Linked DNA regions of Rattus norvegicus. The protein of the gene in region 1 purifies or fractionates together with the protein of each later gene. This does not show direct contact. Links are inferred from orthologs where the notes say so. Each region holds a gene or a part of one and is shown on either strand. Other genes may lie near its edges.

Evidence for each region. Proteins that work in one complex are often made in the same cells at the same time.
Region 2: the proteins of Capn2 (region 1) and Afg2b purify together in Homo sapiens (co-immunoprecipitation; 3 studies listed by BioGRID and IntAct, with this or other methods). This does not show direct contact. The link is inferred for Rattus norvegicus from reciprocal best matches to the Homo sapiens genes CAPN2 and AFG2B.

The regions. Positions count from the first base shown.
Region 1 is NC_086031.1:96,705,005-96,708,634, reverse strand, and holds part of Capn2 (calpain-2 catalytic subunit), read left to right. Parts: intron 1-545; coding exon 546-664; exon of another isoform or gene 665-804; intron 805-1,203; coding exon 1,204-1,337; intron 1,338-1,699; exon of another isoform or gene 1,700-1,840; intron 1,841-2,313; coding exon 2,314-2,482; intron 2,483-3,392; coding exon 3,393-3,476; intron 3,477-3,630. UniProt on the Homo sapiens protein: Calcium-regulated non-lysosomal thiol-protease which catalyzes limited proteolysis of substrates involved in cytoskeletal remodeling and signal transduction. Proteolytically cleaves MYOC at 'Arg-226'.
Region 2 is NC_086021.1:130,147,097-130,151,256, reverse strand, and holds the start of Afg2b (ATPase family gene 2 protein homolog B), read right to left. Parts: upstream 2,916-4,160; 5' UTR 2,860-2,915; coding exon 1,786-2,859; intron 1,033-1,785; coding exon 847-1,032; intron 1-846. UniProt on the Homo sapiens protein: ATP-dependent chaperone part of the 55LCC heterohexameric ATPase complex which is chromatin-associated and promotes replisome proteostasis to maintain replication fork progression and genome stability.

The sequences.
Region 1 (3,630 bases):
ATGGGCAGTGTTCAGCCCCTCCTCGTCGACTGCTGCATTTTCTCCCTCTCATTCAAACTCCTCTCGGAAACCTCTTTTTTTTTTTTTTTTTTTTTTTGGTTCTTTTTTTTTCCGGAGCTGGGGACCGAACCCAGGGCCTTGCGCTTCCTAGGTAAGCGCTCTACCACTGAGCTAAATCCCCAGCCCCTCGGAAACCTCTTTTCACTGAGGCCTCTTGTTGCCCTGTTAAGTTCGGTTCGCCCATAGATGGGCATAGTTCCTGTGTGTGAGCACAGGGCCAGGCTCTAACGACACAGTTCAGCCATCGCAGAGTTCTGAGTTTCTCAGACAATGAACCTCTCTTGTATCTAGCCATCCACACATGGCGTTTCTCCATCAAAATATCCACCAGACCAGGTGACCTATCCCGTAGTTGAAGACTGTCTGAAACACTGCTCCGTCTACTCCAGGGTAAGGTTGGGTTTTAAGCACCCAGCTGCAGGAACAAGACTTCACAGCCTCCGGGAGCTAAGACCTGACCAGAGCTCATGGCTTTGCATTCTCAGGGGACTGCTGGCTTCTGGCTGCCATCGCCTCCCTCACCTTGAATGAAGAAATCCTGGCTCGAGTTGTGCCTCTAGACCAGAGCTTCCAGGAAAACTATGCAGGCATCTTCCATTTCCAGGTAACTTAATGGTTGGCCAAGGCACCTCCCCGTCCTGGCTCAGGGACTCAACAGATTCCTCCAGCTTGACTTTGCTCCTCAGCTTCCTGGTCCCTGGTGGTTTGAGAACTCTGGGGGTCAGTTCTGTTCTGCAAAGAATGCTGGAAGAGAGAAATTTTCCCAACCTGTCCACCATGTGGAGTCCCATCATCAGAATGGCTGGGAGTTGGGGGTGGGGAGAGTCCATGGAGGTAGATCATGGTGTACAGGAAGTAATGTGTTCAGGAAGTAATCCCTAAGTTTTTAAGTTTATTATTTGAGGTTTGAGATAAAAGGTTAAAAGGCTTCCTTTCCCTGATAGCAAATGAGAGATGGCATTTTTAAAGTGTGTGTGGCTTTGGAGACCTACATTGAGCTCCACTGGCCTCTTGCTTGGTGAGGGGCACGCTTAACATAAGACACTGAAGAGAATCATGGGAACTTACAACAAGGGGCTGGGCCAGATGAAGCCAAGGCTCGGAGTCCCAGCGCCACCCTCTCTTGTCCCCCATGCCCTGCAGTTCTGGCAATATGGCGAATGGGTGGAGGTGGTGGTGGACGACAGACTGCCCACTAAGGACGGGGAGCTGCTCTTTGTTCATTCAGCTGAGGGGAGCGAGTTCTGGAGTGCCCTTCTGGAGAAGGCCTATGCCAAGTAAGTAACCACGCCCTTCCCCAACACCCCATCTTGCCCCTGCTGCCCTGGACTCTAAAACAGGAGCTATTTTGGGGACTGTTTTGAGTAGACATTCTGTTCTATAAAAGGATGACTTTGGCCCAAATTGGGCTCTCAGTTCAAGGAGGCAATGTGGGCATGGGAGTTGTTCACATGATACACTGGTACAGGACGGTCATTGTTTTTGAGCAAGGGAACTGGAACATGCTGAGGCTAATTGCTCTGGCCTTAAGAACTCTGCTTCTTTGGTGGGCCCCGTTGCCTCTTAACCAAAAAGACCAAAACCTTCTTCCAATGGCAAATCTGCCCATTGCAAAGGTAGGAAAATAGTGGAAACTCACCCAGAATAAATCATGCGGCTGGTAAGAATGGTTTCCCAGTTCTAATCCTAGCTGGGCCTCACTCAGATGGCCCGAAGTTGTGCCAGGTCCACCCAGGATGTCAGCCCTCTGAAGTGGAGGTCTCAGGTGCTGGTGCTCTCGCTGCATTAAGATCGGAGTGAGTGGGTTTAGGATCCCTACAGCCCCAGGCTAGAAATGGGGCGTAGGGACTCCCTGTCCTTAGCCAAGAGAATTTGGAGCATAGAGCTCAGGGCATGACCACAGGAACCTGCTGTGTGCTTCTCAGGAAGCTGGATTCATTACTTTAGTGTCAACCTCTGTGTCAAGGCTAGAGTCAACACCAGAGGCTGGATCAGAACTAAGTCTTTCCAGCTCCAGGGTTCGGTACAAATTCTAAAACATGTCATAGCCGCAGAGGAAAAGTAACTACAGAGATAGTGCCTTGCCTTCCTGGGTACCCCAAGTTGGAGACAAAGACAAAGAGAATGAAAGCAGGGGACCCCATGAGCTCCCATGGGGGGGATCTGAGTTGGAGTGGGGTGGCATTTTCAGGGATGAAGGTGCACCCCGCAGCATCCAGGGCACTGAGTGGCAGTGTGAATTCCCTCCTTCAGGATCAATGGGTGCTATGAAGCACTCTCAGGGGGTGCCACCACTGAGGGCTTTGAAGACTTCACAGGAGGCATTGCCGAGTGGTATGAGCTGAGGAAGCCTCCTCCCAATTTGTTCAAGATCATCCAGAAGGCTTTGGAGAAAGGTTCTCTGCTTGGCTGCTCTATCGATGTAAGTCTCCATGGTCCTCTCCAAGCACTTCAGTCTGCTGTCGCTCCGAGGAGGGGTGGGGTGAGGGTGGGGTTGGGGATGAGGGGCTCTTTAAAACAAAGGTGCATTCCACTGCTCAGCTCCCGAAGCCCAGGATCACTAGGCAATAGCTCTCTAGGGGGCGCATTTGAGATAGGAACAGTGATTCCTGCCCTTCCTCCCCAGCCCACTTTGGATTCTAACTGTGCTGAATCACTCTACTCAAAGAGCGCAAGTTACACAAAGTCCCCCATCTCCCTTCTGCTGGTTTTAGCACCTTGTCCCCCACCTGCAGGGCTGTTTGAGCAGCCCCGCAGCCTCTCCTCACTCTGTCCCAGTGCTCATGGGTCCTGGCTAAGACTGCAGGGAGTACCGCAAGGAACTGTTTCTTCAAAATAGCTTTGCAGGCAAACCTCACCAGGGAAATGGAAAGTGAGCCTGACCCAAGTCCTGGCGAGGAGCTTCCCCAAGCTGGGCCCAAAGAATGGGAAGGGAGGGTTTTTAAGGAGTTGGCAACCCAATACACGGATTCTGAAGCGAGGGTAGAAATAAAAAACTGCCATCGTTGTGCAACTGAGCTGGGCGGGGTAGGGGTGCGGAATTAGAGCATCTTGGCTACAGTTCCCCCATGGGGTGTCTGTCTCTAGGCCTCCCACAGACCCTTGTCTCGAAGGTGAATCCCTGCACACCCTCCCCATCCAGAAGATGATTCCTGGGGCTTTGGGATATGCGCCAACTTGCGCCTTGGTGATCAGCAACTGAAAGCTGCTCCTCCAGGTGGCAGGATGGATGCTCAGAGTCCCCCAGGCTGGGCCCGGGTGCTTTGTGCGTCCTTCTGGGCCATTTGTATCCGGGCTAGAGCAGCCGCCGCCTATTGTCCTTGCGTTTACAGATCACCAGCGCTGCGGATTCTGAGGCCGTTACGTACCAGAAGTTGGTGAAAGGACATGCGTACTCCGTCACTGGAGCCGAGGAGGTACGGGCCCCTGCTAGTTGGTGGCTGTCCGGGGTGGGGCCTCCAGGGTGGCAGCTGCCTGGCGCGCGCTGCCCTCTGCTGGTCACAGCGGCGGCTGCAGGCGTTCTTCGGATCAGCTTTAAAAACAACCCCCAAACACAGCACTTCCTGTTTT
Region 2 (4,160 bases), on another chromosome or scaffold:
TACTAATTTAGATAAAGATCAATGACAATATTTAATAAAATTCCAAGTACTCAATTTTCTTCAGATTAGAAAACTTGATTTCTCCCTTAGATATTTATCTATAATAAAAAACCCAGTATGACAATGAAGAAGTCTTACAGGTACTGGCTTATTCTAAAAATCAAAGTTAACTCTGGTGATGTTCATCATCACGAGTGACTAAAGTTCTAGCTGTTATCATGGCTGTGGGATATTCTCAAGTCTCAGAAACTCATACATATGTGTAAACTCATACACACATGTAAACTCATACACACATGTAAACTCACGCACACCAAGAAAGAATGTCCAAGTAAACACGGTAGAATATTACAAGTGGATAATCCGGGAGAAAGATATGCAAAAGATTTTAGCATTATTTTTGCACCTTCCTGTGTAAATCTAAGTGGCCGCTTAAAAGCTTTAAATTCACATCTGTCTAATTATTCTGAGGGACACTGTGTTTCCTGGCTGCTCCAGGCTCTAAAGTTACTGTGGCAGTGAGGAAAAGTCGCCATGAAGACTTTCCTGGAAGGCTCAGCCATTTATCCTCATCTTTAGTCATCTTTAGTCATTTATGTATGTGGAGTTGAGATGTTAAATATATTTGAGATTATATTTGTATTCTTACACACACACACACACACACACATAGAGAGAGAGAGAGAGAGAGAGAGAGAGAGAGAGAGAGAGAGAGAGAGAGCGAGCTGTGGAACCTACCAGCCATACCAAGGAATGAATGTACTTACCACCTTTTTTAACCCCACATTAATCTGTCATAGAAATCTGAAAGATTATCATAGCTGGTAACAGGTGAACACTTCCTACCTTTTCATTCTTGAGAAGAGCACACGTGGCAGCCTCCCTACAGAGTGCTGTCAGGTCAGCACCGACATAGCCAACTGTCATTTCTGCCAGCAGGCCTAAATCGATATGACTGGAGATGGGCATCTTTGAAGTAATCACTCCCAGAATTGCCTCTCTCTGTTTAAGTGTGGGAGTTCCAATGATCACCTACAGGCAAAGCAAAAAACCAGAGAACTTAGAAGTAAACAACTTAAAATCTTTAAAAGCATCCTCACCAATATGTACAGACACTCAGCAAACCTTTCTGGAACTTATACCGTGAACTTCTAAGCGCACCTTATTATAAATATAAGAAAATTGTCCAGTGGAACAACAGTAGCTGCGGATTTCCACAATGAAAACTCTATACTTCACTGAAGAAGTCTTTGTTGTTTTTTGAGAACACACTAAGTTCTGGCAGTCAGGGCTCAAATAACAGAGTAGATAATCTAGGTCCTTGTTCTGTGGAATCGGGGCCCTTTAATAGATGGTGCAAGGAAGAAATTCACTCAAGTCCTAAAAAGACTTAAGAGAATCCTACCACAACATTTAAATTTTATTTAATTACTAACAATTCCTTAGAAATTAGAAAGAAAAATCACTTGACCAAAGGCTCCTGAGAAAGAGCCCTGACAACTTAGGGAAGTCAACTGTAGGAGAGAAGCTGGTATCCTGACAGGAACGAATACATTTTGGGGCTAATGCCGTTTTTTTATTTACCTTCTCTTACTGTGACCATGTTCTCATCCCAAAGGCTGTTTCGGTTTAATATGCTTGCAACAGGCTTAGTTACTTCAACAAAAATGACCATCCTGCTTCCCAGAACAATTTGAACACTGGTTCTGGCTCGCATATCACAAGTGATCTATAAATCCTGCCTGACCCAAATGTCCAAAAAAGCGGAGCTTCCAAGAATTTTACCTCTCTGTCAAACCTCCCCGGCCTGCGAAGCGCTGGGTCTAACTCGTCTGGCCGGTTGGTGGCTCCCACGACCACAACCTCCCGGTCCCCGTGGATACCGTCCAGCAGCGTCAACACCTGGGCCACCACGCGGCTCTCGGGAGCTCGCTGGGGGCCGCCTCTCCGGGGACACAGGGCGTCCACCTCGTCCAGGAAGAGGAGGCTGGGCCCGCGGCTGGCCAGCTCCTGGGCGCGCTGGAAGACGCGCCGCACATTCTCCTCGGTCTCTCCGGGCCGAGTGCCCTGCAGCGCCGGGGCGCTCACCGCCAGCAGCTCGGCGCCCGCCTCTCGCGCCACGGCCCGCACTAACTGGGTCTTGCCCACTCCCGGGGGTCCCGCCAGGAGCACCCCGCGGGGCACCGCCAGCCCCAGTGCGGCTAAGGCGAGCGGATAACACAGCGGCAGGCGGAGCAGCTCCCTTAGGGAGTCGGCCGTCTCCGACAGGCCCCCAAGGGTCACCTCCCCCGGAGGCTCGACCTGTGGCGGAGGTTTGTCGCTGAGCGTGATGCGGGTGTGCGGTGTGACCCGCCCGGCGGGCTCTGGGTCCGGTGTCCCGCTCACCACGTGCAGAGCTGCTACAGGGCCCGGGATACCGGGAGGGGTGGCCACCACGTGTCCTCGCGACACCGGCCGGTTGCGCAGCAGCTCCTGCGATACCTCCAGCACCGCGTCGGAACTCGGGGCTCCCGCCTGCGGCCGCAGCACGGGCCACACCTCTAGGCGCCGCAGGGGCGGACAGGACACCGGTTGCAAGCGGTCCATACTGATCCTCCCCGCAGCTGCCGCGGCTCCGGGGCTAGCGCACTGCAAGTCTAACTGCACAAAGCCGTCCGCCCCGTCGCGCCGTGGCCAAGCTGTGCAGAGGCAGCAGCCCCCGGCGGGCAACGAGATCCTCATCGGCGAGCCCAGGCGCACGCCCAGGCTGCGGAAGGCGGCCGGTCCTAGGCGGCAGCGCTGGGTGCCCCGGTCCCGGGGATCCACAGGCAGCAGCTTCAAAAATTGTCCGTCGGGGAAGGGCCCGGAGTCCGGAGCCATGACTAGGAGAACCACACCAGGGAGAGCCCGGCAGCAATTCACCCGGCTGCCGGATGCAGGCGGCGCGCATGCGCCATGGAGGAACCAGCCATTGATTGACGGTCGAAAGGACTTCTGGGAAAGTGAGAAAAGCCTGGGTCTCGGTAAACTTAAGATGCCTGGTTGTTGGTCCCAGAGCCTCAAGGAAAGGTCTCTGCTGGCAACAGACAAAACATCCTATGGCTGCTCCATTAGGCCATAAGAGTTTTCATTTGGGGAAGTAAAACGACTTAAGGAAACAAAACCATGCTGCTAACAAGGTGTAACCTGTTTACAGGTATAATAAACAACGTGTAAATAAAATACCTGCCACGTTAATCATGATGCTCGCATCTTATGAAATATCTTTTATTCTTGTTCCAAAAAGCTTTGAGCATCTGCACATGGGAAAAAAGACATAATAAGGCATGATAACCATCTTCAATACGTAAAGGGACATATGTAAAAGTTAGCGTACTTGTGGATAGCTGTGGTATAGAACGGAAACGGAAGTTTAATGGGGTGATCTTCAGAGGTTTTTCTCTTATGCATGGTCGCATGAAAGGTACAGCCAATGGTCATAACCAGCGCCAACTGAGGCAATTAGAGCTAACTTATGCTTACAGGTTTCTGCACTGGTTTAAAACAGAGGTAGAGAGGTTAAGCTAGTAGGGATATGGTGTGGAGGAGAGTACATGTTGTTTTGTGTTGCATGGAGAGATTGATCCCTTTCAGGACCAGACTAAAATTCTCTGACCTTAGCCAAGAAATAACGACTTCCCCACTACAACAACCATTCCCCTCCTTGTGTCACAAATATCAAGAAGGGATTCTGTTCGTGGGCCCTCAACTCTCTTTCACTCATTCTCAGTAGAACTATAGATTATCTTTCCCAGGCAGCCTTAACCCATCATGCTCCTCTAAGTCAAACCATTTTCAACGCATTGCCTCAGTCATCCGTATATTTGAATTCATCATACCGACAATGACATAGTCTTGTAAGCAACCATTCTAAGCTGGCTGTTATGGGTCATACCTGTATCCCAACGTTTGGAAGCCTACGTAAAGATTATCACAATTTCCAGCTCAACCTGTGCTACATAGTAAGGTCTAGGCAAGCCTAAACAAGACTCAAAAACAAACACAAAAGTCTCAAAAAAAAAGCCGGAAGAATACCTTGAAAAGAAAAACAGCATAATAACAGTTCGGTGGTCCTTTTGTTGGTTTATAGGACTCCAAATTGGACAATTTTATGAGCACCATTTAAAGCACTAAATGCATTC